Macaca mulatta: one gene and its partners. The protein of the gene in region 3 interacts with the protein of the main gene of each other region in a pairwise test. Links are inferred from orthologs where the notes say so. Each region holds a gene or a part of one and is shown on either strand. Other genes may lie near its edges.

Region 1 (4,647 bases), on a different chromosome or scaffold from region 3:
GCAAGACAGCGCCGCTCCAGGTTGGCCCAGCACAGTTCCTCCTTGCATTTTGGGGGTCAAAGCCGCAGTTCATTTGAAACAAAATGCTCCTCTGCCTGGTCTGGTCCTCTCTTTGTGTATTTTCCTAGAGGACCTCACAGTGGGTGAGTGGCCAAGGAGAACAGGATTTGTGCCTCTGGGAAACTGGATTCCTGTCATCTCCTGCCAGCTGTCATCGCCACACCGAGGCTGTTCAGCACCGCGGGACCCTTTCTCTTTGGTATTGGTGGCTTCGGTAAATACTGAGGGAAGGTGGAGGTGGTGGTCGATGCCTTTTCCTGCCTATCTGGTACCTTGGGTTCTTTATCTTGATGCGATCTTGAAGGCTTCTGGCCTGGTGTTGGCTCCACCCCCAGGTCTCTGAACCACAGCCGAGGCAGCTGAGCAGAGGCACTGCTCGGCTTCCCCTAGTCCACACAGCCTGGCCACCACCCCGACCTGGGGAGGGGGACTCTGGTGGAAGGGGCCTGGGAGGGGCATCTTCCCTGGGGCAGTCTCAGTCCTAATGCTGGACGCTGGGGTCCCTGGTCCCACTGAGGCAGGGCCTTCCTCAGGGGTCTCTGGGGAACCCTGGGAATTCAGAACCCCACACTGGTCCGGCCTTCACGCCTCCAGAAAGCTGAGATCTGCTCCAAAGTGACCCGTGGCTGGAGGCCCCACTCGGGATCCGGGCTCCGTGGCCGCTGCCTCCTGGCCTGGGGGCTCCCAAACTGGGCTCTGGCCTCTGGCCTCTGCTCGGGTTCAGCCCAGCTCACCAGGCCCGTGCCGGGGGGCCTCCCCTCCCAGGGCTGGGGCCCCCAGAAGGTGCTCCGGGCTGGGACCTCCGGTGAAGTCTGGGGGCCCAAGGAGCTGGGAGCAGAATTTGGGGCTGAGGGGGCATATGGGGCAGTTGCTTGGGCCTCCAAGACGCCCACTGGAGTGGGAGGCTCAGGGGCCCGGTCTGTCAGCAGGGGGACCGCAGAGCCGTACCAGTCCTCAGAGCGCTCTCGGGGGGTGCCCATGGGCTCAATCCACAGCTCTCCTCCTGGGCGCCACACCAGGGTGGGTGCATGGTGGCTGGGGTCTGGGCGGAGAGCCCGGCGGAACAGGCGCTCAGCCAACACAGCGGTGGTGAGGATGAAGAGCGCAGCCAGGGTGGCCAGGGCCAGCATGATGGGGATGCAGGGCCCACAGGGCAGTGAGGGCCATGGGGCTGCCTCCCACGTGGGGGGCCCTTCCATGCGCCCAGAGGGCGGCTCTGGAGTTGACGGCATCTGGAAGACATGGGGCAAGAAGAGGAAGTAAATGAGGCAGAGGGGGCACAACAAAGATGAGAGAGAGGCAGCAGGTGTCCAGGAAAGCCTGGGAGAGGGGCTGGGCTCGGGGGCTCATGCCTGGAATCCTAGCACTTTGAGAGGCCAAGGCAGGATGATCGCTTGAGCCCAGGAGTTCAAGACCAGCCTGGACACACAGTGAAACCTCATCGCTATAAATAATTTAAAAACTAGCTGGGCATGGTGGCTCACACCTGTAGTCCCAGCTACACAGGAAGCTGAGGTGGGAGGATTACTTGAGCCCAGGAGTTCGAGGCTGCAGTGAGCCCAGATTGCACCACTGTCCTCCAGCCTGGGTGACAGAGCAAGACCCTTTCTCAAAAAAGAAAAAGAACATTCTGGAGAGACAGAGGAGCAAGGGGGACCAGAAAGGGTAAGCGTGAGCCAGGTGGGGCGGGAGGACAGGCTGCCTACCTATGCGCACAGCCAGGCCCTCTTGCCCAGCTCTCCAGGCCTTTCCAGAAGCCCCATTTCCCTCCCGGACCCCAGGGTGCCTCAGACCAGAAAGGTCTTGAGGGCCTCTTTCCTCCCCACTGGGCCCCCTCAAGTCTTGCTTAGGCCTAGAGAGGAAGTGGTGGGTGAAGAAATGAGAACCTCCCCTCCGACCGGCTCCCCTGTGTGTGTCTCCCCTACCGCCTCCCGCCGGCCACCTCTGCTGGCCCCTTGGGGCTCCTTCGCCCCTCACCAGTCTCCTTGGACTTGATCTTGTTCTCATAGACTCCGTGGAATCGCGGAATCTGCTGCCGGGCCAGGCCAGGCCTCCGGAGGCGCCTCTGCACCCCTCCCAGGTTCCCCAGCTTTGCCCAGGCTCTGGCCTGTCTCTCTCTCGTTCGTCTCTGCACACCTCTCTCTGTCCCCCACATCCTCCATCTGCAGGGGCCTCCTGCACCCCTCAACTCACCTTGGGTCAGTCCCTGGGCGCCTCTCCCTCCTAGAGCCACTCTTCCTGGTGCCGGACTAAGAGATGCAGGCTCGGAAGGTGCAGGGCAGTCCGCCTTTCAGACATAGAGGCCGGGCCTCGGATGAAGGCGGAAGGGAGGGCACTGCCTGTTGCTGGGCAACTGTGCCCCAACTCGCCTGCCCCCGGGGAGTGTTTGTTTCCAAAGCAACCCAAGGGGATGTGGTCACTGCGGTGAGGAGGCTTTTCCTGGGGTAAGGTGGGGCTGGAATGGGCAATGGCTCTGTTGAACTTAGTGTCACCCCATAGCCAGGCCCTGGGCCCCAGAACATTCACCCAGAAGCCGAGAAAGAGGACGCAGGGGCTAGGCACAGTGGCTCACCCCTGTAATCCCAGCATTTTGAGAGGTCAAGGTGGGCAGGTGACCTGAGGTCAGGAGTTCGAGACTAGCCTGCCAACATGGTGAAACCCCATCTCTACTGAAAAATACAAAAATTAGCTGGATGTGGTGATGGGCACCTGTAATCCCAGCTGCTCGGGAGGCTGAGGCAGGGAGAATCACTTGAACCTGGGACTCAGAGGTTGCAGTGAGCTGAGATCATGCCACCACACTCCAGCCTGGTTGACAGAGCGAGACTCCATCTTAAAAAGAAAGAAAAAGAAATAGGACACAAGTAATCTAGCCCGTACATTCCTAGAGAACCATGGTGCCTCCCCCTGCTCCTCCTGGGAGGATGCCCCACCCCATCCTGCCTTGTCCTATCCACGGTGCCTCCCCAGATCTGCTCCTGCCATCCAGCCCCCACAGGCACCCCCTGCTTGACCAACTTGCTTCACACTTTTTTTTTTATTTTTTATTTTTTTGATAGGGATGGGCTCCCGCTATGTTGCCCAAGCTGGTCTCAAGCTCCTGGCCTCAAGATATCCTCCTGCCTCCGTCTCCCAAAGTGCTGCGATTATAGGTGTGAGCTACCACACTGGCTCCTGCCTCATACTTTTAATTAACATAAGTCTCTCTCTCTTCAGACCATTTAGCCCCCATTCTGGTTGGAAAATATCAGTGAGGTGAGGCTTGGGTAACAAAAATGTCAGGCCTCTGGGAGGAGTCCAGGGTATAAAAACAGGCGTGGGCTTGTTTCCAAAACACTGACTAGCCTCATGTCTGTCCCTCTTTCCTGGGGCTGAGGGTGGGAGGAGTCTAGAACAGAGTGTGACGAGATGTCATCAGGCTTTGGAGTCCAGGAGACTTTCTGAGATTCTCTAGTTTGACTCACTTATCCACAGATGACAAAGTTAAGGCCTAAAGAAAGCAGATGACATGACCAAAGTGGCATGACCAATGTATGTGTGGGTCAGCATGTGGTGGCCGGGGTGGTGGAAGAATAGTTAGAAATCCCTGGGCTGGGCGAGGTGGCTCATACCTGTAATCCCAGCACTTTGGTGGGCAGATCACCTGAGGTCAAGAGTTTGAGACCAGCCTGGCCAACATGGCAAAACCCTGTCTCTACTAAAAATACAAAAATTAGTCAGGCGTGATGGCACGTGCCTGTAATCCCAGCTACTCAGGAGGCTGAGGCAAGAGAATCGCCTGAACCTGGTGCAGTGAGCCGAGATCGTGCCATTCCACTCCAGCCTGGGCAACAGAGCGAGACTCCATCTCAAAATAAATAAAATAAATGAATGAAAAGACATTATCAGTCAGACTGCCCCGTCCTGGTGATTTTGAGCCCTGGTGGGAGGAGGTGGAGATGGAGAGTTCGGGGAAACCACCTTTGCAAAATTAGGACTGAGACTGTGAAAGAGATCTAGCTTAACCGACACCATCTTGCTTCTAACCTCCAAGCTGTCTTTGTTTATTCCTGGGCGTAGGCTGAACTAACTTTGGGAGAAACTTAGTTTGTAGTTTATAGTTTAAACAAAGACAGTAACAGCCCTTTCCCAAAGCAGACCTCCTTCTTGCCTGGGGACTAGACTAACATTAGCCATTGGATTAGAAATTATGGTTTAGGAGTCATGCAGCTGCAGGCTAAAAGATTCTGACCGTCCCTACTGCTCCTAAGATCAGTGCTTGAGATATTTTGCAGACCCTGCACTTGATGGATCAGCTGGCACCGCCCAGATCAATAAACTGGCTCATCTGGTCTTGTGGCCCCCACCCAGAACTGACTCTGCAAGAAGACAGCTCCAACTCTCCATGATTTCATCTCTGACCAGTCAGCATTCCCAGCTCACTGGCTCCCCGCCCACGCACCAAGTTGGCAGTGGCTCACGCCTGTAATCCCAGCACTTTGGGAGGCCAAGGCGGGCGGATCACAAGGTCAGGAGATCGAGACCGTCCTGGCTAACACAGTGAAACCCCGTCTCTACTAAAAATACAAAAAATTAGCCAGGCATGTT
Region 2 (4,348 bases), about 14 Mb from region 3:
AATAGAGTATAACTTCGGCCCAAAGAAGCTTTTCATTTAACATCAGCAGCAATTTAAGAGCATATACTATATGGCATTTTAAAAATGAATCAACAGACTTTAAACCCTTATTTTGAAAGACATCTCCCTTTTCCTCCAGAATTTGAATTTATTCATGGGAGCAGTCTGTAAAGGAAGTCCTAGGCACCATTAATGACATGTGCTTTAATAATTTAAGAAGTGTATATGTAAACTTGGGCACATTGACAGTATATCACATTGTGGATTAAAGTGTAACGACCAATATAAATACAGCTTCCACAAACAGAGTATAAAAACTGACACACACTTTTCTTGGTATATTGGGTGGGAGGATGTTAAATACCTTAGGATAAGACAAGTTTTCTAATACTGGAACTGACTAACTGCCAAGAACACTGCTGTGGTTCTTATCAGGAAAAAAAGTCTATTATAATCATTTTAGGTACGAAACTTTCTACGCATTAGAATTCTTCCAAGGTGAAAAGATATTACTAAGGGAATTCATTTTGCAAAGAGGAATCATCTTTTTTTTTTTCTCTAAAGATTTTTCATATATTACCAAAATAGTTTAGGATTTTATTAGGATATTTCCTCGGAAGTTTGGGGGTTCCGTGTTCTACCAGGTGATGCCTAATAGATGCCTGATACCGCTCATGAGTCAATAAGAGGAGGATAGAGCGTAATCCTTGCCATGCGCTCCGGGCTGCCCCGGGTACTTTCTGTACGGATGCTGGATGCTTCCAAGGTAACCCAGTCCTTTCATTCCCGCTCCTACCGAGATGCCGGGAAAGCATTCCCGGGCTGATGCGGGGTAGGCAGGTCCTGCGCCCTGCGAGCCGTAACTGCGCTCGGCGTCGTCCTTCCCGAAGTCCTTGGCTTACGCCTCTTCCCATCGAGTCGCCCCAAAGCCCCTCCTCCAGCCATCCCCCTCCTTGTGGGGGCAAAAGTTTAAGGGCGGGCTCCCTTCTCATTAAAGCGCGCCGGGGCCTCTTTAGTGGCTGGACTGTAAACGGGTCCGAGGGTCCACGGCGCTTTCCTCGCTCTTCTCTAGCCCCAGCTCGGCGGGTGGGGACAGACGCTGAGACTGTCGGTGGCCGGCGCTGACGCGTCCTGGCCGTAGGGTGCCTCCCAGCTCGAGGGACTTATTTAAATATTTGGGGCAGGGCACCCTGCCAGGACCCCAGGAAGCCGGCGCAGATTTGGCGGGGACCCCGAGGCTGTGGCGCACTTGCCCCAGCGCAGCGCGAGCACTGGGTGCGCGTGGGTGAGAGTGAGGTTGCGCCCGGGGCCAGCGGGAGGCGGACCCGCCAGGCGGCAGGTGGGTGCGGCCGGCTGGAGCCAGGGCAGCGGCGGCGGCGGCAGCGGCGGCAGCAAGTGGTTGGGCCGTGCGCATTTCCTTCCCTCCCCCTCGGCCTCGGAGCCCGCCCGCGGTGCCCAGTGTGCGGCGCCTTCGGCTCCGCTCAGCGTCCCCTCCCCGCCACCGCCGGCCGCACCCTTCACGGTCCGTCCATGTCCCTGCCGGTGGTGCTCCCGGGCTCCTGCTGCCCCGTGGCTGGGCTTTCGGGTGGGCCGCAGACCGGGGGCCCGGGCGCCGCCGCCGCCGCCGCCCAGGAGCCGCCGCTGCCCCCGCTGCGGCCGCGCTGGCCCCGGGGCGCGCTGCAGCCCCCGTCGCGGCCTCGCTGCGCGGCCACCGCTGCCGCCGGGGTTCTGGCCGCGCCGCCGGCGCTCTCCTCCCGCCGGGCAGCCGCCGCCGCTGCCGCCGCGGCCCCGGGCTCTGCGCTGTTGCCCGCCCGCCCGCTGCTGTCACTCGGGCTGCTGCAGCTGATCCTGGGCTGCTGCATGGTGGCGCTCAGCTTCGGGGCGCTGTCGCTGAGCAGCTCTCCGCAGGTGAAGAACTCGTGCCCGTTCTGGGCCGGCTCCTCGGTGAGTACCGCGCGCGCGCCCCGCTAGCCCGGTCATCCCGTGGATAGGGGGCTCTGGTCGTACCCTTTCATTGTCCCTTAGTTGGCCTCCAGGGCTGCAGTTGGGGGAGCCTTAACGCCATCTGAAGTTTTTGGAGCCTGGAGAAAAATGTTCCGCGACGGTCGAGTTCAGGGGTGAATTGGGCTGCACCTGGGTAGTGTCTGTTGCGCGCAGGCTGAAGGATTTTATTGTCCCAGTTAAGCTAATAGAATTAAGCAAAGACACCCAGCTCTTTGGGAGATTGGAAGGACAGGGTGTGGGTGGCAGGAAAGTGGGAGGAAAGTGATTAAACTTCTTTTGGTCGTTGAATATTTGCTGCACTGACAACGTCTGTGCTGGGAGGGCAGGGATTTTGATCATTTTTGTTCACCGATGTATCAAGAATGCCTGGCACATAGTAGGAGTATTTGTGGGATGGGACAGTTTCGGACACATCGCTTGTTTTATTCTCCATTAAGACACACATAAATGTGAAATGTGTAGGGTGGCTCGACCCCCAGACGAGTTCAGGAGGTAATGAGAGGGTGTGTGTGAACTGGCGCTTGTACCTGGTCATTAAAGGAGGGCCTTAACCCCACTTGGTTCCTGGAGCCATGCAGGCTGCTGTGCAGAATTCAGTTTGTGAGAACCGGGACCTGTCATTAGGGACGAGCTGGCCAAAGGTCCTGGAGCACGCAGCAGCTAGCTAGAGATGTCTGCTCTCCAGGACCCACTCCTCCAACCGGGAACGCTGAGCCTGGGGCCAAAGAGTGCCCAACTTCAGAGAAAAGCTGCTGCCAGCCAGTATCTACGGACACCGGGTGGTCACTCCCCTCTACCTCCTAACAATCGCACAATGTCCAAGGCATGTAACCCCCTGAAGTTCTCTGGGTGTTGAGAGACTTGGAAACACATCTTTGTGGGATGACTATGGAAGATGAGTAAAGTAAATAACCTTCCTTTATATCTTTTTTTTTTAATTTTTAATTTTTATTTTTTATTTTTAAGGGACGGAGTTTCCCCATGTTGCCCAGGCTGGCTTCCAACTCCTGAGCTCAAGTGATTCTCCTGCCTTGGCCTCCCAAAATGTGGGGATTAGAGGCATGAACCACCACAGCCGGCCGTAAATAACCTTTCTATGAACTCACTGTGTAAATCTGAAAGTCTAGCAATGCTGCTAGTTTTTAGTAAGATCTGTAATCAGTGTATGTCCTGAATGGTAAGAACTGCTTTTGCAGTTTCACACATACGGCAATTCAAGACCAAACTGAAAAAAAGGACTCGAAGAACTAGTTGAACCCAAAGTAATTGTTTAAATAAGAACATTAGGTTCCTTGAGACTCGCCTGAAATTGTATACTTCATCCAGTGCCAATTTGCTTTCCTTTTGAAATACTTTCATGTTGAATGATCTTATTGGGGTACATGCTGTGCTGTGGTGAGGGAAGACCACGATTTGTGCCTCATGTAGAAAAAATGCCACCCTAGTGGCCCTGCCTGTGGGCTCTGCAGCTGGCCTCCATGAGTGTTCAGGAAAACTCCAGAAGGATGGATATTCCAGATGGGGTAGGAATTAGACCTGTTATGCTACCTATTCTACTTGTCTGACTAAATCCAGCCAAAGAGTGGGTGCATTTCGTTTCTCTAAATACTATGGGCCAGTAATAATCTTGCATATATTTTTAGGAATTTGCTCTTCATAAAATCGTGATCTATTGTCTTCTCAAACATAGCTAGTTTAGAATTATTAAAAACTATTTTTTGTCTTATAAAATTAAAAGCTGATATCATTTACTATTGTGAATCATTTCAGAGGTAAATGCACTTAGATATCAGTCAAGCCACAGTTGAATTTGATGAAGTACCAAAAAAAAAAAAAAAAAAAAAAGAAGAAAAGAAAAGAAAAAAGGCCTTCAACCAGAAGGTGAAGGTTAATACTCCTGGTCTGGGCCGGGCGCGGTGGCTCATGCCTGGAATCCCAGCACTTTGGGGGGCCGAGGCGGGCGGATCACGAGGTCAGGATATCGAGACCATCCTGGCTAACACGGTGAAACCCTGTCTCTACTAAAAATACAAAAAATTAGCCGGGCGCGGTGGCGGGCACCTGGAGTCCCAGCTACTCGGGAGGCTGAGGCAGGAGAAAGGCGTGAACCCGGGAGGCGGAGCTTGCAGTGAGCCGAGATCGCGCTGCTGCACTGCAGCCTGGGCGACAGAGCCAGACTCCGTCTCAAAAAAAAAAAAAAAAATAAATAAATAAATAAATAAAATAAAATAAAATAAAATAAAATAAATAGATAAATACTCCTGGTCTGCTGGCTGGGTATGTCCTTGTCTCCAAGTCTGGGCATAGCAGAGCAGAGAAAGAAATCAGTGATTTGGAACTGACA
Region 3 (4,594 bases):
TATAGGATGCATAGAAGTTAGACAGGTGAAGGCAAGGAGAAAGTCATTCTAGGTAGAGGAAGGCAGCTTAGGCAAAGCGTGCAGGTAAGACACAGCATGACAGGGAAAAACAGGTAATGAGGAGCTGATGAAGTTGAGGAGAAATTTTATTTAGACATATGGAAGAAATTCCAAATGATTGATTGTCCAGTTGTGGCACTTTCTATCTTGAGAAGCAGTGATTACCTCACACCTAGACATAACCAAGTAGTCATCCTTCATTAAGCAGAAGGCCTTGTTATTTGAGCCACGCTGCCAGAAATTTAGGTGATATCAAATGATGTCTATCCTGAAATCGATACCCTCAGAATTCTCTTAGACCCAGATTCCATATAGCTCTGCTAAAAAGTCGTGTTTATGTAACAGTATTTATTCTGAGAACAGGGTTGGACGGCTTAGGAGCAGAAATGCAAAATGTATCTTTGCGGATTTGGGTCACCATGGGCTGTCAGGATTTAAATTGTGCAACACTGATTAATATAGTTAATGTGCTGGTTTGTACTTTCCTTGCAAGTCATCTTTAAAACCAAATGATATAATTTCAAATTCGGATTCTCAGAGATAATTTATTTCTATCTGTATTACACTGAAAATAATTTTGGAACTATCTTTAATGCCACTTAAAGCCTGACATTGAGCAGTAACTTGATAGAATAGAAAGTGAACACCTCAGCTATATTACATTGTCCCAGTTGGGTGGACACTCCTCGGGCACCCTGTTCCGCCCTACACACTGTAGGAAATCGAGTTCACAGAGAATCGGGGGGCGCTCGCGCACAGCTGTCATCGCAGCAGCAGAGGCCACTGTCAATACAGGTCGCCTGATTGATCGTCTGACCAAACAGGGCTAACCCGAGGGCGGTAAATAAGTTCTGGCCACGAAGCAATGACTCCGCGGGATTGCGCAGGGCAGTCACAGGCGTTTACTCCATTTTCTGTTTGTTGTGCTGTGGACCTTTCCGCCATTAACTTATCCCAACTCCCCCGCATAGGGCAATACCAGCCCTCCAAATATGAAACGCTAAGCATATTAAAATAACAACAAAATACCTCGCCGCTATTTTATCACCAGACCCTCCTCCCAGCGGGGAACGCAGAGTAGGCAGAGAGGCAAGGCAGGGCAAGGCGACTGTGACAGCGCGGAGGGCTGAGCATTGCCCAGCCGGGAATGAAGTAAGGTGGGGAGATTACCTGGACCGCGAGCGCGCAGGCGCATCCGCGGTCGCAGGGCCCACTGGTCCCTTTCTAGTAATTTCGCTAACCTTGACGTCATCTCGGTGCGCCGTTACAGCGCTTAACTGGAAACTGCAATTTAGTTTTTGGTGAAGGGAACGGAAAAAAACCATGAACTGAGCTGCCCCGCCCCATTTTGCTTTTAGTCCTTCACACTGGCTTCGCCTACACTTTGGGCAATGGAGCGGGAAAGGAAAAGGCACGTAGGCTGAGCTCAAAGCGGCGCCAGCCAGGGATGACTCGGCGACGCCGCCAGGCGCGTTACCCGGCGTGCTCCGCGCGGCGCCGGCGAAGGGACGTGGGGGAAGGGGCAGGGAGGAGGAAGCGGTGGCTGCTGCGGATGTCGATGTGAGCGAGCGGCGCCTGAACACACGGCGACTGCCGAGCGCCTGACCCGGGCCTGCGCCAGAGCCTGCACCGAGCTCCGAGGCCCCACACCCGCTAGGGTGGCCCTGCGCCCGTTGCTAGTGAGGCGGCGTGCTCTGCATTCTTCGCTGTCCAGGCCTGTCGGCTTTGGTGTCTGCTGGCTCCTCCTTGCTCGCCTGCTCACTCCTGCTTGCCTGAGTCACCGCCGCCGCCGCTGCAGCCATGGCCGAGAGTGGTGAAAGCGGCGGTCCTCCGGGCTCCCAGGATAGCGCTGCCGGAGCCGAAGGTGCTGGCGTCCCCGCGGCCGCTGCCTCCGCGGAGCCCAAAATCATGAAAGTCACCGTGAAGACACCGAAGGAAAAGGAGGAATTCGCCGTGCCCGAGAATAGCTCCGTCCAGCAGGTGAGGTCGCCTGGTGCTCGGGCCGGGATGGGGGTGGCGGCAGGACCTCCGCCCGCCGCGCCAAGAGACCTTTTGGGAAGGACCTGGGAGAGGGGTCATCCTCCCAGGTGCCCTCGGCCATTCTCCCGGGCGTCGTCCCAAATTAGATCACACCCAAGTTAGTGGGTTTGCGCTTTGGGACACCGCAGTGGTTTGTGGCGTGGCGGCGCGGCCTGTTTGTGGGACGGGCCGATGCCGCTTTTCTCGGAGCCTTCTTTCCCTGGCATCCGCCGACCCTCAGCCTCCTCCCCCAGTTCCCCGCCCTCCGTCGCCTCCCCTCCAATTCCTCACAAAGGAAAGGGACCCACCGCTAGGCTCCGGGCGGGGTGGAGGCTGGGCGGGGGCGAGGGTTCGCTTTAGCTCAGGCTGCGGTTTTGCTTTATGAATTAAAAAAGGGGTTGGGTGGGATCCTCGTTGTTTTACGTGCCTGCTTGTTAAGATAGGTTTTGGGGTGAGGTGCACGTGTATATTTAGTTCTGCATTTTAACTCCTGAAATCTTTCCCACCTTGCAACCTTTTTAAAAAAATTATGACGTAGAAACCGATTTTAGCTCCATCTTAAGTAATAGTAATAGTACTAGGTTTAAGGAGAAAAGTGAATGACTTTCTTTCATTGATGACTTGCTCTTTCCCTTTTAGTATGTTTATCATCTCTTAGATGCCAGTCATTGGGTAGGTTTTTGTTTGATTTTAGAGAGGCGATAGCGATGTTGATATTAGCTGTTGCAGCCAAATAAAAGAAAATTGGAGTTAATGGAGAATATTACTTAAACTTCGTTCAGGAATACAAATCTTGCAGTTAATTAAGATCCTTGGTGGAATTTAACAAATAATTTTAGTGTATTGTTGAATACGTCGTATTTTCCATGATTATTGACTTAATCTCTGAAGATCGCACACAACGTGAACAGTTTGTGACAGGAAACAATCAACAATTCCTGAAATGTACCTATCAGAGTCCCCAGGGACTGTAGGGGATTGGGATATTGGTTTAGCGAGTTCCAAAGGTAGTGTGTTTTGTGAGGCAGTGAGGTGTGTAACATCGAATGAGAGAAACTTTTACCATCAACGGAATTTATCACTCTTTTTTTTTTTTTTTTTTTGGTCTCCTACTGCCTGTAAAAATGTTCCTTACCGTTTTTGTATTTTCAAGCATACAGAAAGTTGAAAGAACTGGGCAGTGGACACACATATGTCCATCATCTACAATTAGCATTTTACAGTATTATAATCGATTATCAAGTCCATTTTATTTTTGGGGAGCAATTCAGAGTAAATTGCACGTGTCAGTAGATGACACCAGTACATGTCACTTCAGCATTGTGAACTGATATTTGCCTAAGTTCAGCCTCGTTTTTTACGTTTTTTGACGTAATTTTGACATGCAGTGAAATGCATGCCATTCCATGAGTTTTCACAAATGCTTACACCTGTGTAGCCCAAGCTCTTATCAAGATATAGAACATTGTAATTGACTAGAGAGTTCTTTCTTACCTTTTCCCAAGTCATTTCAGTCACTCGGCCTTTCCATCAACTACCCACCTTTTTTTTTTTTTTTTAAATGCCATAAGTTACAGAGTTGCCTGTTTTAGAATTTAACATTAAGTGGGATCCCATATAGTCTATAGTACTGTTTGTATTTTTCTGGGTAAGCCTTTTTTTTCCCACTCAGCATAATGTTTTTGAGTTTCGTCTTTGTTGCATGTATTAGTAGTTCCTTTCTTTTTATTGGTGTGTAGTTTTCCACTGTATGTATATACCATAATCTATTCACTGTTGAAAGTCACCTGAGCTGTTTCCAGTTAGTTACTGTGAACAGTCTTATACAAGTGTTTTTGTGGACTCTTTTTTCTTTCATGGTTATATACTTAAGACTTGGTTTGAGTAGGTCATAGGGCAATTGTATGTTTTAGTTTTGTGAGAAATTATGTTTTAAAAAATGCTTGTGGGCCCGGCGTGGTGGCTCACACTTGTAATCCCAGCCCTTTGGGAGGCTGAGGCGGGTGGATCGCCTGAGGTTCGAGACTAGCCTAGCCAACGTGGTGAAACCCCGTCTCTACTAAAAATACAAAAATTAACTGGGCATGGCCGCAGGCACCTGTAATCCCAGCTACTCGGGAGGCTGAGGCAGGAGAATCATTGCTTGAACCTGGGAGAGGGAGGTTACAGTGAGCCGAGATGGCACCATTGCCATCCAACCTGGGCAACAAAAGCGAAACTCCATCTCAAAAAAAAAAAAAAAAAAAAAAAAAGCTTGTGTAGTGCTGGCTTCAGCAGCACATATACAAAAAAAAAGCTTGTGTCATTTTACCATCCCACCAACGAAGATATATGGGAGTTCCTGTTGCTCCATATCCCTGCTAACATTTTGATCTTGTCAGTCTCTTTAATTTTAGCTATTTTAGTGGGGGTGTAGCCATATTAAGTTTTAAAGTTCAGGTCTGGTTTCTAGGATTCCTGATTCATGCCTCCACCATCCTGGGTGCTTTCAGCATTTTACTGCAGAAGATTAGAA
Region 4 (4,550 bases), on a different chromosome or scaffold from region 3:
TCTAATTGCAATGGTCAGTGAGAGAACATAGGAAACAAGTGGTCGCTCTTTTCCGAGACGGAGTCTCGCTTTGTCACCCAGGCTGGAGTGCAGTGGCGCGATCTCGGCTCCCTGCAACCTCCGCCTCCTGGGTTCCAGCAATTCTCCTGCCTCAGCCTCCGGAATAGCTGGGATTACAGGCGCGTGCCACCACACCCGGCTAATTTTTGTATTTTTAGTAAAGACGGGGTTTCACCATGTTGGCCAGGCTGGTCTCGAACTCCTGACCTCGTGATCTACCCACCCTGGCCTCCCCCAGTGCTGGGATTACAGGCGTGAGCCATCGCGCTCAGCCAAACTGAACGTGTGATCTCTCTTAATAGTCCTCAGATGATGGGGGCAGGGTAGGTGGAGAAACGGGGTGACAAGAAAAGCTACCTCTTGCAGACATCTATGAGCTGATTTTGTCAGATCTTTTGCGACAGTATAACATTCCGTAATGGCTAGTCCAAGCAGACTGAAGTAGACAAGCAATGGCTCATAGAAAACATGGTTTAAAACCAGAAGCCACGTGATGTAACTTTATTTAGTCGAACTGCGCTTTCATCTTTCTTTTAATAACTTAGGGAGAACAACGGGCCCCAGTGGCAAATGCAAGGTCCCCTGCCTCCCAACCCGATTCCTCTGAGAACCTGCTGCCATCTGCCTGGACCTCCTGTAAGATGGCTCCTACGCGACGACCCTACCAGAGAATCAGCTCTACGTGCCACCAACATTGCCACCAACATGTCCACAGATTGCCTGCTTGCCTCAGCCCACTGACACTCGATGCCGGACTGGGCCAGAAGGACGATCCTAGATTTGATGCCTTTTTGTCTCCCTGGACCAGAGACTGCCTCCTCTTTCCTCCCACGTTCATTTCTTTTTCTTTAGCCCGTGTAAAGCAGCGTGGGAGAGAAAACTAATTTCTTCTCCCTGGGGTACCCCGGAGCATCGCTGCAGCCCCTGGCAGGCGGCGGAGCCGCGCGCCCCGGGCGTGCCGAGAGGCTGCGGGGACGCGCGCCCTCCGCCTCCCGCAGCTGCGCGTCCGCAGCCGGGGCGCCCAGGCCCGCAGCCTCCCGGGCCTCCCCGAGGGCCGGATCCAGCCTGCAGGTCAGGCCGGCGGCCGGGGTCCCGCGGGCGGAAGTGAGAAGGGCGGCCGGGGAGAAGGCTGCGGGCTGGGGGCTGGGATTCCCTTCCCGCCTGGCGCCGCCTGGGAGAGCCCGCGCGAGGACGCCCGGCGCGCTCCGCCGGCCCTTTTTTGGCGCTGAGGAAAAGGAGAAGGGCAGAGCCGCCGCCTCGCGGGAGCGGGCCCCGGGAGGAGGGGCCGCTGGAGAGGCCGGGCGAGCGCGGGCGGCCCTCACCTCGCCGCTCCTCCCGGGCCGCCATCCCTCGGCGCCCCGCCCGGAACCGGCGCGCGCGTGGGGGCGGGGAGGCCGGCGCGCAGATCTGGCGGTGAGCGCCGCCGCCCCGGGGCCCCCAGCCATGTCGGCCGAGGAGATGGTGCAGATCCGCCTGGAGGATCGCTGCTACCCGGTGAGCAAGAGGAAGCTCATCGAGCAAAGCGACTACTTCCGCGCCCTCTACCGCTCCGGCATGCGCGAGGCCCTGAGCCAGGAGGCCGGCGGCCCGGAGGTGCAGCAGCTGCGCGGCCTCAGCGCGCCGGGCCTGAGGCTGGTGCTGGACTTCATCAACGCCGGCGGGGCCCGCGAAGGCTGGCTCCTGGGCCCGCGCGGGGAGAAGGGCGGCGGGGTGGACGAGGATGAGGAGATGGATGAGGTGAGCCTGCTGTCCGAGCTGGTGGAGGCGGCCTCCTTCCTGCAGGTCACGTCTCTGCTGCAGCTGCTGCTGTCCCAGGTGCGGCTCAACAACTGCCTGGAGATGTACCGCCTGGCGCAGGTGTACGGGCTGCCCGACCTGCAGGAGGCCTGCCTGCGCTTCATGGTCGTCCACTTCCACGAGGTGCTGTGCAAGCCCCAGTTCCACCTCCTGGGGTCTCCTCCCCAAGCTCCGGGGGATGTCAGCCTGAAGCAGAGGCTGAGGGAGGCCCGGATGACTGGGACTCCTGTCCTCGTGGCCCTCGGGGACTTCCTGGGGGGACCCCTGGCCCCTCACCCCTACCAGGGGGAGCCCCCGTCCATGCTCAGGTACGAAGAGATGACTGAGCGTTGGTTCCCGCTGGCCAACAACCTTCCTCCCGACCTGGTCAATGTCAGGGGCTATGGGTCTGCCATCCTGGACAACTACCTCTTCATAGTGGGCGGGTACAGGATCACTAGCCAGGAGATCTCTGCTGCGCATTCCTACAACCCCAGCACCAACGAGTGGCTCCAGGTGGCCTCCATGAACCAGAAGAGGTAAGCACCCCGGCAGAGTGCTGCTGCCTTCTCATTCATTCACTTGTTCATTAGTTCATGGGCCCGGTGTTTACTGAGCCAGTAAATAGGGGAGGGTGTGCTGAGGTGGAAATGACATCTTCAGGAATGTTGTTGGCCTTGGTGCTGGCAAAGTTCCCAGTGAACTAAGAAATTGCGAAGAGGAACTCCCCAGTGAGGTCAAGTAGTGGAGTGGTTTTTTGGCAGGTATTGTGCCTTTAGGTGAATCTGCTTTCTTTGTCTCTGTTCTTGTGAAAAAAGATGTCGTGATTTCCTATAAGAATACTTTAAAAGAAAATTGCTCCTTAATTTTTAAAAAAATTTTTCTTAGTTTTTAGGATTCGATCCTGATGGTAATGACACACTGGACAGTAACCTGTGACACTGACTTTGGGGGATTTTTTTCTGTTGTCAGTGACTGTGACAACAGAGAGTCTTTCACACTGTGACACCCATCATGACCAAGAGATAATCACTGGAAATGTATTAACATTTGCAATAGGGGTTGCTTTTCTTATTTTTTATCTTCTCTTTTGCTTCCTTCCCTGGACAGCCATCGTCATGACCCAAAGCTTGAGCCTGGAAGTGTTCAACTATAGAATTGGAATATTTTCATTTACCCAACCTTCTCCCCCTCCCATCCTGCAAATCCCTCCTGCCTCCAATATGGGTGACTTGAAGAAAGGAAGAGGAGGAGCTTGAGGAGTGGGATGAGAGGGGAGAAGGGAAACGAACCAGGGAAGGAATATGAAAACAAGAGCAAAGAGCATATACAGGAAGAGATGGTAGGAAATAAAGACGGTAGCGCCGAGGAGGCCTCAGAGTCATTCAGAAGCAGGGAAGAGAATCAATGTAACTCAAGAAAGAATGAAAATACCCTTTCTTCCCATCCACGTGTTTCCATCTCAATCCTCACAGGGTCCTGGTCCTGAAGTGTGGAGCAAGGAATTGGGGAACTCACAGCTAGGCGAAGGAAGTCTTAACAGTAACAGAGAATCCTTTATATATCTATCTATTTGACTCGAGGGTCCTCCTTGGCCAGGGATTATTTGGGGAAATAACTGGCTTTATTTCTCCTATAATATGGAATTCATTTTGAAAAGTATGCTTTTTTCCCTGATAATACATGGTTACAGAAAACTAGAAAATGGAAAAGAATGAAGAAGCAAAAAGATGATTATTACCACTCGTTCTTCCTAGAGGCAGTAACTGCAGGTTGGCATATTTCCTGCCAGCCCATTTTTAATGCATTATTTGCACCATTGAGATGATACCATATTTAAAATTTGGTATCAGAAGTGTTATTTTAAAACATTCTATGCGCTGTAATTGAAACAACAAAGAAACATTGTGTGGCTATGGGTGGTGGTCTGATTAGGGGTGGGCGGCCCTGAGTTCTCTGTCTCCTCTTGCATGCCTCCAGCTACACATCATTTGACGCTCACCAGGCCATCCTTAGTACCGCAGTTCCTCACAGTTCTTTCTTCCCTTCATACATCCTTGGTAGTCTTTGTCTTTTTTCTAGGAAGGCCCTTTTCATCCCCTGAAAAAAAAAAAAAGCATTCAAGTAATGCATGAATGCATGCTTCTTAGAAAAACTGCAAATTACACAAAAATACAGAGTAAGAAGAGGAAATGTCTGCCCTCAGGGTACAGAAAAAAAGTGTCAGTGTATCGACAGACTTTTGTTACCTTTAGATATTATAAATGTATAAACATTTATATTTGTAAATTACATGTATACTTATATAAATACACTTAACCCTTAAGTAATGTGGGGGCTAGGGACACCGACCCCTGCACAGTCAAAAATCCCCATATAACTTTTGACTCTCCCAAAAACTTAACTACTAAATAGCTTACTGTTTACCAGGCGCCTTACCAATAATATAATCAATTAAAACATTTTGTATATGTATTATATACTTTATTCTAACAATAAAGTATGCTATAGAAAAGAAAATGTTATTAAGAAACTAAGGAAGAGAAAATTAAGCGGAAGTGGATCATCCTTAATCGTCTTGACACTGAGTAGGCTGAGGAGGTAGAGGAAGTATTGGTTTTGCTGTCTTGGGTGGCAGAGGCAGAAGAAAAATCTGAATATAAGTGGACCCTCGCAGTTCAAACCCGTGTTATTAAAGGGTCAGCTGTATAAGT
Region 5 (2,876 bases), on a different chromosome or scaffold from region 3:
TCCGGCACTGTGTGATGATTGCTACTGCTGGAGACCGCACAGAGGAGTTCCATGGGTGAGGATGGGGCTTTTTCTGGGAGGGAAGTGTGTCCACATGTTTAGATGGTCATCCTCAGCCCTGGCCGTGAACCAGAACCACCTGAGAGCCCAGGCCCCACCCTAGAGGGTCTGACTTTGTCTGGGTGAGTGAGACTGGACATCGGTGTGTTTCCAGAGAATACTGGGTGCTTCTAATATGTGGCCAGGACAACAGCCATGAATTTGGGGGCAGGAATGTGCCACCTGGGCCTTGGGTAGTGGCAACAGACAGTGTGGTATTTACTAGGGCACATTGGCTCCTTGTCCCCATTCTTGGTCCACCTGCCCCTTGGCTGGTGTGGTTTCCAGAGATGGTCTGGCACTTTGGCCCAGACAGGGTAGGGGAGGCAGGGTGTCTCAGCCCCCACTTCCCCAGGGGACCCCACTGTACAGCTGAGTGGCAGTGCCTCTCAGATCAGTCCCTGCCCTTGGCTTTGGTCCCCAGTGCCGCCCCTTTGGGCCTCAGACGCCAGCTCATGTAATGTGTGGTTCAGTGGGGGCACAAAGATTGCATCTGTGCTGAGGGATTAGCCCTATTGAGACCCCCACCTCCATCTGTCAGCCACGCAGTGAACCTCCTGGGGAACTTGCCTCTCAAGTGTCTGGATGTTCTCCTCACCCTGGAGCCACACGAAGACTCCGTGGAGTTCATGGGAGTGAATATGGATGTGATTCGTGCCCTCCTCATCTTCCTAGAGAAGCGTTTGCACCAGGTAGGCTGGGGATGGCTGTACAGGCTCCCCCAGTGGCTCTGGCACTGGTTCTCCTGCACAGCTGTGGTCAGTGCTTCTCCACTGGCCACATTGGTAAGTGGAAATCATCTTGGTGGTGTGATACAGGTGATTCTTCCGGCTGTTCTGTGGTCCAGCCTGGCAACAAGCTAGACCCTTCCTTCATGAGAAGCATGTGGACACCTTCCACACACTTGAAGGTTTCACTTCTTAAATCTTTGTGGATCTTTATTGAGTGGTCCTGAGAAGCCCCCAAGTCCCTGCTTTTAACTCTCAGACACAGGCAGCCCTTGACTACAAGCATAGCTGTCCCTCAACATCCTGAGGAGACCCATAGGAACCTCAGATCAAAGCTTCCCTCTGATTCCTGTGACTGCACTACAGGGCATCTGGATAGCTAGGGCTCTAACCATCCTCCAGGAGCTTGCAGAAAGCAGGCTGGAGCACAATAAACCGAGATTTAGGAGACCTCTCGGGAATCTACCTGCCTAAGCAGGGGACACACATGGTGCGTGAGAGCCAGTCAGGGTAGGGAGCTGGCACTGGACATACAGCCGGGGGGTTGTCTGTGCCTGTCGCTGTCGCTGCCACTGCTGGTGCTGGGGTCCAGGCACATTATGCTAGGAGGGTCAGGAACTCCCTGCTCTCTGTCCATGAAGTACCCAGAGTGGGGATTCGGTTCTCGTTTCTTTTTGCCACCAACATCTGAGGGCAATGTGTGTGCCAGTCTAAAGCTTTAATTGCTTTGTGTTTTCTTCCCAGCCCTGGTTTATAGTTGAGGTAATTAGACTTAAAGCAGTTATTTCTCCCAAGTCACCAAGCTTACAACAAGTACCTCTGAGTGAAGCTCTGTGCCCGTCCTTTTCAAAAGTGACACAGACACCCACCACCCACTCTTGGCCTTCTGCTGACTAACTGCAGAGGGGCCTCTTCCCAAACCTGTGCCACCAGGACCAGCTGCTGTGTATGTTGGTGGGAAGGGGCGGTGGGGGGTGTAACTCTGCGCCAGTCTCAAATTAGGCAGGAGCACAGCCACGGTGACAGAGGCTCCTCTACAGACACACAGGCTGAAGGAGAGCGTAGCTCCCGTGCTGAGCGTGCTGACCGAATGTGCCCGGATGCACCGCCCAGCCAGGAAGTTCCTGAAGGCCCAGGTATGAGACTGAGGAGCTGGCACTCCTGGGGGATGTGGTTTCGGCCCTGATCACAGACCAAGCCCAAGCTTAGGGACGGCCACCTCCCCAGGTGCTGCCCCCTCTGCGGGATGTGAGGACACGGCCTGAGGTTGGGGAGATGCTGCGAAACAAGCTTGTCCGCCTCATGACACACCTGGACACAGATGTGAAGAGAGTGGCCGCCGAGTTCTTGTTTGTCCTGTGCTCTGAGAGTGGTGAGTTATGGAGATCCGGGTCCCAGCGCCCCCACCTCAGCCAGGCTTGCACACTGACCTCTGCCTTGCCCCCCAGTGCCCCGATTCATCAAGTACACAGGCTATGGGAATGCTGCTGGCCTTCTGGCTGCCAGGGGCCTCATGGCGGGAGGCCGGCCTGAGGGCCAGTACTCGGAGGATGAGGACACAGACACAGACGAGTACAAGGAAGCCAAGGCCAGGTGTGTGCCCCCAACACCCCCTCGGGTCTCCACTCAAAGCCCCTAGTCCCTGCTTCGACATCCATGTGGACCACTGTAGGGTGGGACAGGATGACCAGTGGGCAAGACCTTCCAGAATCAAGCACCTGTCCCTAAGTGCTATCTGGGATACCAGAAGGTGGCAGGTGGCAGTTGCTGGTTACCAGTGCCGCTTCTGGAGGGAGGCCTCTTCCTGCAGTTGCCTTGCCCACCTCGCCCCACTGGGAAAAGAGGTGGCTTGCCTCCTGTCCTGGAGAGTCACTAATGCATTCCCCACATTCCACCTGCTGGGAAACAGCATAAACCCGGTGACCGGGAGGGTGGAGGAGAAGCCGCCTAACCCTATGGAGGGCATGACGGAGGAGCAGAAGGAGCACGAGGCCATGAAGCTGGTGACCATGTTTGACAAGCTCTCCAGGTGTGTGGCATGATGAGGAG
Region 6 (4,628 bases), about 73 Mb from region 3:
TCAAAAATCTCATTTTGGCTCTTAAGACCTTTTATAATTATTCCCCCAATTTACCTTTCCAAGCCTGTTACTCTATTCCCCATATATACTCCCACTGTTTTAATCTAAGGATAATAAAAAAGAGAACTAAAATTCATTTAAGGCTTTTTTTGTGCAGAGCCAAATCTTAGCATTCTATATACTCTATAGATTATTTAATTCTTACATTAACTCTGTAAAGACAGTATTATTTCCACTGTCTTTATTATTTTAAAAATTATTATTTTAAAGATGGAGAAAATAAAATGCATAGATTTTAAATATTCTCTGTTTTCTTCCTAATACATGAAACTTCTTGTCCTTTCCTTTGCCTTTTAAACTTTGTTAAGGTTGTGCCTTTTGCCGCCTCCTTTCTTCCCTCTCCGTGTGTTTATGCTTCTTTCCAGGCCAATATAAAATGTCATCTTCCTTTTGAAAATTCTGTGTCCCTTCAAATTAGAATGACTCCTCAACCCCCATCAAACTTAGTTTTTATTTCATTTATAGTACTACTTTCTGCCTTCATTATTATTTGCCTACATGTCTTGTCTTTTATAAAGTTTGAATATCTGAAGAGCAGGATCTGTATCCTGAAGACCTCTTGTATCTAGTACAGAACAAGATACCTAAACTTAGATGGGTGGATAGATGAGTAGGTAGGAGGATAGATGCATGGAAAATGTGTATTTTCTGATCTAATGTTTTGCAGATTACCTAAAGCTAATCATCACAATTTTCTAAGTCTGTGGATGATTCCTAGGGCCCCAAACATGACACAGTAAACTCTATGACATGATGAAAAAAAAAAAAACAGCCTCCACACTTTTGCTTACATGGTTTTCTTTGCTTAAAGTACCTTTATCCCTCAGTCCTTCATTTCTTTATCTTAGGAGTGAAACTGCTTTTGGGAAGCCTTCCCCAAGTCTGTTAGGTGGAATCTATCATTCCATCCACTGTACTCCAGCAGAACATTATGTGGACCTGCATGTCACACTTACTCCTTTTACTGTGCGTAATTCTCCTGTGCTTTTCTGTTAGTGTAAACTGTAAGTTGTAAAACTCACCAAATATGAAAGTAATCATTAGCATTTATTAAAGTATACTACTTCCCTGGTGCTATATACTAAGCACATCATATTTATCTTGTTATTTAGCCCTTACAATAACCATTATTCTACAATAATAGATTGTTCTACAATAATAGAATAAGGTAGACACCATTTTTCTATTTTACAGATGAGTGATGGGGAAAGAGCTTTTGGAAGTTTGAGTTACTTCCTTATGGTCATGCAACTAAGTAAGTGTCTGAGATTCCAGAATCTGAATTATTACCCTCTATGCAGTGTTTTGTCTTGTTTGTTTCCCTGTCACCCTCACATGACACATAATAGACCTCAATAAAATAGTTAAGTAAGTGAATGACTGAACGACTGATCATAGCTATTCTCTAAATGTTTCTTGAGTGAATTGATTTATATAATCAGAGGAAAATGAATAATGGTTTCTTTTTCTCTTTAGCAGGAATTTTACCCTCTAGGGCATGAATACTGTGCTGTTCAGTTCTGAGCTGTGCTAGCAGTACCCTTCAAAGGAATAGCAATGGCTGCAGCAGCAGCTTCTCACCTGAACCTGGATGCCCTCCGGGAAGTGCTAGAATGCCCCATCTGCATGGAGTCCTTCACAGAAGAGCAGCTGCGTCCCAAGCTCCTGCACTGTGGCCATACCATCTGCCGCCAGTGCCTGGAGAAGCTATTGGCCAGTAGCATCAATGGTGTCCGCTGTCCCTTTTGCAGCAAGATTACCCGCATAACCAGCTTGACCCAGCTGACAGACAATCTGACAGTGCTAAAGATCATTGATACAGCTGGGCTCAGCGAGGCTGTGGGGCTGCTCATGTGTCGGTCCTGTGGGCGGCGTCTGCCCCGGCAGTTCTGCCGGAGCTGTGGTTTGGTGTTATGTGAGCCCTGCCGGGAGGCAGACCATCAGCCTCCTGGCCACTGTACACTCCCTGTCAAAGAAGCCGCTGAGGAGCGGCGTCGGGACTTTGGAGAGAAGTTGACTCGTCTGCGGGAACTTATGGGGGAGCTGCAGCGGCGGAAGGTAGCCTTGGAAGGTGTCTCCAAGGACCTTCAGGCAAGGTATAAAGCAGTTCTCCAGGAGTATGGACACGAGGAACGCAGGGTCCAGGATGAGCTGGCTCGCTCTCGGAAATTCTTCACAGGCTCTTTGGCTGAAGTTGAGAAGTCCAATAGTCAAGTGGTAGAGGAGCAGAGTTACCTTCTTAACATTGCAGAGGTGCAGGCTGTGTCTCGCTGTGACTACTTCCTGGCCAAGATCAAGCAAGCAGATGTAGCACTCCTGGAGGAGACAGCTGATGAGGAGGAGCCAGAGCTTACTGCCAGCTTACCTCGGGAGCTCACCCTGCAAGATGTGGAGCTCCTTAAGGTAGGTCATGTTGGCCCCCTCCAAATTGGGCAAGCTGTTAAGAAGCCCCGGACAGTTAACATGGAAGATTCCTGGGCCATGGAGGCGGCAGCCTCTGCTGCTTCTACCTCTGTTACATTTAGAGAGATGGACATGAGCCCGGAGGAAGTGGTTGCCAGCCCTAGGGCCTCACCTGCTAAACAGCGGGGTCCTGAGGCAGCCTCCAATATCCAGCAGTGCCTCTTTCTCAAGAAGATGGGGGCCAAAGGCAGCACTCCAGGAATGTTCAATCTACCAGTCAGTCTCTACGTGACCAGTCAAGGTGAAGTGCTAGTTGCTGACCGTGGTAACTATCGTATACAAGTCTTTACCCGCAAAGGCTTTTTGAAGGAAATCCGCCGCAGCCCCAGTGGCATTGATAGCTTTGTGCTAAGCTTTCTTGGGGCGGATCTACCCAACCTCACTCCTCTCTCAGTGGCAATGAACTGCCAGGGGCTGATTGGTGTGACTGACAGCTATGATAACTCCCTCAAGGTATATACCTTGGATGGCCACTGTGTGGCCTGTCACAGGAGCCAGCTGAGCAAACCATGGGGTATCACAGCCCTGCCATCTGGCCAGTTTGTAGTAACTGATGTGGAAGGTGGAAAGCTTTGGTGTTTCACAGTTGATCGAGGATCAGGGGTGGTCAAATACAGCTGCCTGTGCAGTGCTGTGCGGCCCAAATTTGTCACCTGTGATGCTGAGGGCACCGTCTACTTCACCCAGGGCTTAGGCCTCAATCTGGAGAATCGACAGAATGAGCACCACCTGGAAGGTGGCTTTTCCATTGGTTCTGTAGGTCCCGATGGGCAGCTGGGTCGCCAGATTAGCCACTTCTTCTCGGAGAATGAGGATTTCCGCTGCATTGCTGGCATGTGTGTGGATGCTCGTGGTGATCTCATTGTGGCTGACAGTAGTCGCAAGGAAATTCTCCATTTTCCTAAGGGTGGGGGCTATAGTGTCCTTATTCGAGAGGGACTTACTTGTCCGGTGGGCATAGCCCTCACTCCTAAGGGGCAGCTGCTGGTCTTGGACTGTTGGGATCATTGCATCAAGATCTACAGCTACCATCTGAGAAGATACTCCACCCCATAGGGGATGAGAAATATCATTTTCTTCTGCTCCCAAGCCAGCTTCCCTTCCCATAGTTCTTGGTTGTTAGTGGCACATAGAGAATAGACTCGGCATATGTCCTGATTCCAGCTGGGTAGTTCTAGAACTTTAGAAGCTCCATCTTTTTATGTTTTTTATTTGTTATTTTCCCCTCCCCACTTCCCACCTAAATTTAGAGCTTTAAAAGATGCACTGCCCAAATAGGACACGCAATGGTGTTAGCTGAAGTTTGATTAGCAATTAGGCACTTCCAAGGCTTTAGTAGAGAGAGCCACTTTAGCCCTTTGTGCCATGTTTGAAATGTGCCCTTGTATTAAATCCTTGATTTTTTCCCGTTTGGCTCTGATGCCCTTGATCCATTGTTTCCTTCCTATTACAATGTGCTTCATCTGTGACACTTTCTCTTCAACTCTGATTGGATTCACTGTGCATGCTTCAGTGGGATATGCTCCACCTTTCAGTGACATTTCAGACATATTCCTGTAACATTATGTCTCAGTCTGATCGTCTTTACCAGTGTGAAAGCTCATTCATTTAGTGCTACCAAAGGGGATACACAGGCCCTTTAGGAAGCAGTACCTCTCGCCTGGAGGATCTGTGCCATCTTGGATTGAGAACTGCAGATGTGACAGAATGGATTGACCCTAGTTGGTTGGTATTGACGACTTCAGCCTGGAAATTGCTTGCCTTTTAAAGAAGCATAATATGGATTGGAATTATGCCAAAGCATAGGAAGCTAGGAATAAGCAAACAAATGCTGATATAGTCAGCAAACTTGGATAGTCTCTAGGGCTCATCGTTTTTCATACTACCTCTCTCTTCTGGCCTGTGTCTAAGGAATTGTACAGCATAGGCCAGGGCCAACAAAATGGAGAGGTGGACACATTTTCATGTTCATTACTAAAACAAACAGCAAAACTGTTGGTTTGTTATTCTGTATTTTCCTCAAGTGAGTACATACTATTTGGTTTCAGGATTTCTTTCCATTTCTCTATCAAGCATTAAATAATTGAGAACTGTTTCTTCATCAC
Region 7 (3,912 bases), on a different chromosome or scaffold from region 3:
TAGTGTATTTTTAAAAACTTTGCTCAAAGCTTAGGGAAAAGTATTGTGAAGAATGCAGGGCCAGTCATTAAGCCTATTTTATGTACTAGGAGACTGTTGGTGAATTTTAGGATCAAAAAATGTTAAACAGCACAGCCATTAGAGATAGTGAAAGATTTTATTTTTTTTTTACTTTCATCCAAACACACCCTTTCCTGAAAAACATAAAAGCATGCACATCGATGGCATTCTTATAAAGAAAAATTAATAACTAAGCTGTAAATCAATAATAATACAAACGAAAGTTTAAATGATATGTGAAAAGATTTACAGGTAGGTATACGGCTCTTAATTTTAGAAAATAATTCAAGTCAGAATTAATACAGGTTAAGGAGAAGCTTCTAATTTTCCAAACATTTTGATACAAAAATTTTTTCAACTACTATATTTTATAGACCGTTTGTGAGATTAGTATAGTTCTATGAAACATAACATTCAAGTGATCTTATGCAGGTCAGACTGCCTTGTTAAAATGAGTTAGAATCCACATAATTCCAATAGTATTGCCCCTCAAAGTTCAAATTTAGAACATATCCATTATATTCAAAATATGTTAAATCCCTGTACTTAACAAAGACATGGAATCGATCTAAATTTTACTTTACAGGTAAGAGAAAATTAGAATTTGGCATGAGGAAACTTTTCTTAAGTTTTACCCATGCCCCACTGATGATTAGGCCAACTGTATCCTGAGTGTGCATGGATGTGTGCATCCATTCTAAACCAATTCACATCACACGACTCTTCAAAGACGATGCTTGAAACAGTTTATTCTCTGGCCTGGGAGAAGCAGTGTAACACAGTCACTTGATTCTCCCTTAATCATTATTTCTTTCATTTTGCTTATCATGATCCAATTCGTATGTTTCATGTGGGCCATTGATATATTTTTGCAACAAAAATCCAGTAGCAGTAAGCAGAAATGTTAACTTAAAGGACTAGGAGGAAATCAAAGTTTAAATTATAACACAAAAATAGAACAGTTCACACCGAAAGGTCTTCTCCCATGGGATATATTGTTCCATGGCTGAAAATTGTGATTTGGTTCCTGGAACAAAGCTCTTGCTCTAAGGTGATACATATTAATGTGTAGCTCTACTAAACCTAATGGGAAATAAACAAATTCGTTCAGTCCTGATGAATTAATTCTGTATTTCACTGGCTTGAGAAGGTGAATTTCTTGACACAGACAAATGCAAAATGCCCCTGCAGTAGCTGGTGAAGCCCACTCACAAGGGCTTAAAGAGGTCAGCTCTGAAAGTGGGCAGCCCAGGCTGGCTCTGCATTTCTTCCCAGCAAGTCTGCGTGCAAGCCGCTGAGCGGCACCGCTGACGGGATCCAAAGGAAAAGGGCCAGAGCCCAGTGGGAATCCACCACATCACAGAAACGTGACTTCTGAACATCCTGTTCCATCAAAGAGAAGAAGGCAAAGGCACATGCTAGTAAATCTAGGCAGAATGTCTGCAGGCTCTCGTCACCTTAAAAATCTTGTGAACTTGGGGTCCAACCAAGGTGCACACTGACTATTTGGATATTAAAAAAAAAACAAAACAGAAAACCTTAATGTTTTCAAGCACTTATGGCACAGACATAGGGGAGTACTAATAGCATAAATATTCAAAAAGCTGGGAAATTTAAAGTTCTGCTATAATGAATCAGAATCACAATTTTAAGCTTCTTTCTCATATTTTATACCATTTTTTGTGTGTACAGGGTGTGCAAATTAAGCAATTTCAATAAATATTAGAAATTTATTTTGCAAATACAAAATGAGTAAAATCAGCTAATAACGCAATACAATAAAATCATGTGCTAAACAGAGCTTTCTCCCCATGAACACTTTTTACCCTTTCCTTTGAACATCCTGACACTTCTTAAATACAATTTATTTCACTGACTTGTAGAAATAAGCACAAGATGAAATATTAGCTAGCTGCAAGATACTAAATACTTTAGTAATAAGACCTTAGAGCTGTCAGGTTGTAATAAACTGAAAATAACAGAGAAAGTGAAATATGCTGCAAATTAATGCTCAAAAATGCAGCCATCTGACTTACAAAATACACAATCCTCCCAGCCTTCTCAAGTTGTCATTAGTTCATGGGAAATGGACAGAGTAGGAGAAACTCCATTTAGCTTTTACCCTTCCAGCAGCCCCGGTGCTAAAGTTGTATTAACCAGGTATGTCTGCCCAAGACCATTGCATATCAGCTTTCGTCACAAATTCTATTTTATCCAATCTTCAACCAACAAGGCTTTATTTACACTCCTTATTAAATTCAGGAAACAATTTGATGTCATGTGCAGCCGCCAAAAATAGACAATGTAGCACATCCCATTGTCTGGAGACAGCTATTTGTTTATGCTTTAATAGTAACCCACAGGCAGCCAAGTAGGGTTCCATATATCCAGGTGTTCACATACAGCTTCCTTCCAGCATCGGTCATAAGCATGCCTGCAGTCAAACCACTTAAGATCAACATTGATGGTAAAGTCTTCTTGATACTTAATTTGGAATTAACACTTTTCCCAGGAAATCTTTTTCTTCTTTCTGGATCTGGTGACTCATAAAATTCTATAAGCATCCTATGGCCAGAATGAAAAAGGTTTGGATTTTAGTCACTTCAGTATTTCAATTCAAAAAATATCAATTAGGTAGCTATTACATGCTGGAAAAGTTATGCAGGTCCTTGGAAAATAAGGATGAATAAGGAAACATCCAGAAATTTGGATTAATAGAAGTTTCTAGTCTTTTAAAATATCTTTAATATGCTCTATGACTAGTATACATGAATTATATATGTAATATTTCAACAGGTGGTTTTAAGCCATTTTATGAGAATGTTTTTTGTCTTTTAAACTTTTGATCTATAAAGTTTTACAGTGACCTGACTCACAAATGGCTAATAACCCGCTGCAGCTTCTCCTCCTTTTTATGTGGAGCTCCTATTCCACCAGAAGTCAAAGATAGGACCAGCGGTTCTTAGACAGCGGTCCCTCTGTATCCACAGGAGGCTGGTCCCAGGATACCCAGCACAGACCAAGATCAAAGGATGCTCAAGTCCCAGATATATGAATAAAATGGCATGTATTTGAATATAACATATACACATCCTCCCAAATCCTTTTTTTTTTGAGACAGGGCCTTACTCTGTTGCCAGGCTGGAGTGTGGGGCAACGATAGCTCACTGCATTCTCAACCTTCCAGGCTCAGGAGATCCTCGCACCTCGGCCTCCTGAGTAGCTGGGACTACAGGTGCACACCTGGCTAATTTTTGTATTTTCTGTAGAGACAGCGTTTTGCCATGTTGCCCAGGCTGTTTTGAACTTCTGGGCTCAAGCAATTTGCCCGCATTAGCCTCCCAAAGTGCTGGGATTACAGGCATGAGCCACCACAGTCAGCCCCCTTTTTTTCTGAGTGTTTTTGATCTGTGCTTGGTTGAATCCACGAATATGGAATCCATGGATATGGACTGCTCACTGCACCTGGTCTGTCCCAAAAACACCTTTATTCCCATGGAATTAGAAAGGCAGGTGAAAGAAGGAAAACAGCATAGTAATTCATTTTACCATCTTACATAAGATTTGTAAAGTTATAATAGCAGAACATACCCAACATAATAATCTAAAACACAAAAATACTGAAAGGAAAAGCACCTCTATTGCTTTATAAATCACACACCGTAGCGATAATCATTGTTTTAAAATGTCCAGACTCATTCTAAATATTTATAAATACTTATAAAATAAGTAGCACGTTAAATACATTTGTCTTTTTTCTGAGAACACATTTTCATGTCAATACATGCAGATCTTACTTTTAAATTTCTTCCATGGCCAAAGTGGTCCTGAATGGCTGGCTTAATAAATTAC

The links.
Region 1: the proteins of UBQLN1 (region 3) and ZG16 interact in binary tests that used the Homo sapiens proteins (3 or more experiments, as listed by UniProt). The link is inferred for Macaca mulatta from reciprocal best matches to the Homo sapiens genes UBQLN1 and ZG16.
Region 2: the proteins of UBQLN1 (region 3) and ENTREP1 interact in a two-hybrid assay, tested with the Homo sapiens proteins (2 studies listed by BioGRID and IntAct). The link is inferred for Macaca mulatta from reciprocal best matches to the Homo sapiens genes UBQLN1 and ENTREP1.
Region 4: the proteins of UBQLN1 (region 3) and KLHL42 interact in binary tests that used the Homo sapiens proteins (3 or more experiments, as listed by UniProt). The two-hybrid records come from large-scale screens. The link is inferred for Macaca mulatta from reciprocal best matches to the Homo sapiens genes UBQLN1 and KLHL42.
Region 5: the proteins of UBQLN1 (region 3) and RIC8A interact in binary tests that used the Homo sapiens proteins (3 or more experiments, as listed by UniProt). The link is inferred for Macaca mulatta from reciprocal best matches to the Homo sapiens genes UBQLN1 and RIC8A.
Region 6: the proteins of UBQLN1 (region 3) and TRIM32 interact in binary tests that used the Homo sapiens proteins (3 or more experiments, as listed by UniProt). The two-hybrid records come from large-scale screens. The link is inferred for Macaca mulatta from reciprocal best matches to the Homo sapiens genes UBQLN1 and TRIM32.
Region 7: the proteins of UBQLN1 (region 3) and AGPAT5 interact in binary tests that used the Homo sapiens proteins (3 or more experiments, as listed by UniProt). The two-hybrid records come from large-scale screens. The link is inferred for Macaca mulatta from reciprocal best matches to the Homo sapiens genes UBQLN1 and AGPAT5.

Annotation. Positions count from the first base shown.
Region 1 is NC_133425.1:28,820,733-28,825,379, reverse strand, and holds the start of ZG16 (zymogen granule membrane protein 16), read left to right. Parts: upstream 1-1,629; 5' UTR 1,630-1,725; intron 1,726-2,253; exon of another isoform or gene 2,254-2,575; intron 2,576-4,647. Other genes in the region: C20H16orf54 (transmembrane protein C16orf54 homolog), read right to left, coding at 618-1,292. UniProt on the Homo sapiens protein: May play a role in protein trafficking. May act as a linker molecule between the submembranous matrix on the luminal side of zymogen granule membrane (ZGM) and aggregated secretory proteins during granule formation in the TGN.
Region 2 is NC_133420.1:100,369,838-100,374,185, forward strand, and holds the start of ENTREP1 (endosomal transmembrane epsin interactor 1), read left to right. Parts: upstream 1-1,382; 5' UTR 1,383-1,530; coding exon 1,531-1,944; intron 1,945-4,348. UniProt on the Homo sapiens protein: Functions as an activator of the E3 ubiquitin protein ligase ITCH in the ubiquitination of the CXCL12-activated CXCR4 receptor. Thereby, triggers CXCR4 endocytosis and desensitization, negatively regulating the CXCL12/CXCR4 signaling pathway.
Region 3 is NC_133420.1:114,632,513-114,637,106, reverse strand, and holds the start of UBQLN1 (ubiquilin-1), read left to right. Parts: upstream 1-1,598; 5' UTR 1,599-1,860; coding exon 1,861-2,040; intron 2,041-4,594. UniProt on the Homo sapiens protein: Plays an important role in the regulation of different protein degradation mechanisms and pathways including ubiquitin-proteasome system (UPS), autophagy and endoplasmic reticulum-associated protein degradation (ERAD) pathway.
Region 4 is NC_133416.1:30,134,137-30,138,686, forward strand, and holds the start of KLHL42 (kelch-like protein 42), read left to right. Parts: upstream 1-1,463; 5' UTR 1,464-1,503; coding exon 1,504-2,375; intron 2,376-4,550. UniProt on the Homo sapiens protein: Substrate-specific adapter of a BCR (BTB-CUL3-RBX1) E3 ubiquitin-protein ligase complex required for mitotic progression and cytokinesis. The BCR(KLHL42) E3 ubiquitin ligase complex mediates the ubiquitination and subsequent degradation of KATNA1.
Region 5 is NC_133419.1:87,249-90,124, forward strand, and holds part of RIC8A (chaperone Ric-8A), read left to right. Parts: coding exon 1-55; intron 56-640; coding exon 641-791; intron 792-1,867; coding exon 1,868-1,963; intron 1,964-2,036; coding exon 2,037-2,199; intron 2,200-2,275; coding exon 2,276-2,420; intron 2,421-2,736; coding exon 2,737-2,856; intron 2,857-2,876.
Region 6 is NC_133420.1:41,594,389-41,599,016, reverse strand, and holds TRIM32 (E3 ubiquitin-protein ligase TRIM32), read left to right. Parts: upstream 1-1,536; 5' UTR 1,537-1,617; coding exon 1,618-3,579; 3' UTR 3,580-4,446; downstream 4,447-4,628. UniProt on the Homo sapiens protein: E3 ubiquitin ligase that plays a role in various biological processes including neural stem cell differentiation, innate immunity, inflammatory resonse and autophagy.
Region 7 is NC_133413.1:7,581,850-7,585,761, reverse strand, and holds part of AGPAT5 (1-acyl-sn-glycerol-3-phosphate acyltransferase epsilon), read right to left. Parts: intron 2,626-3,912; coding exon 2,400-2,625; 3' UTR 1-2,399. UniProt on the Homo sapiens protein: Converts 1-acyl-sn-glycerol-3-phosphate (lysophosphatidic acid or LPA) into 1,2-diacyl-sn-glycerol-3-phosphate (phosphatidic acid or PA) by incorporating an acyl moiety at the sn-2 position of the glycerol backbone.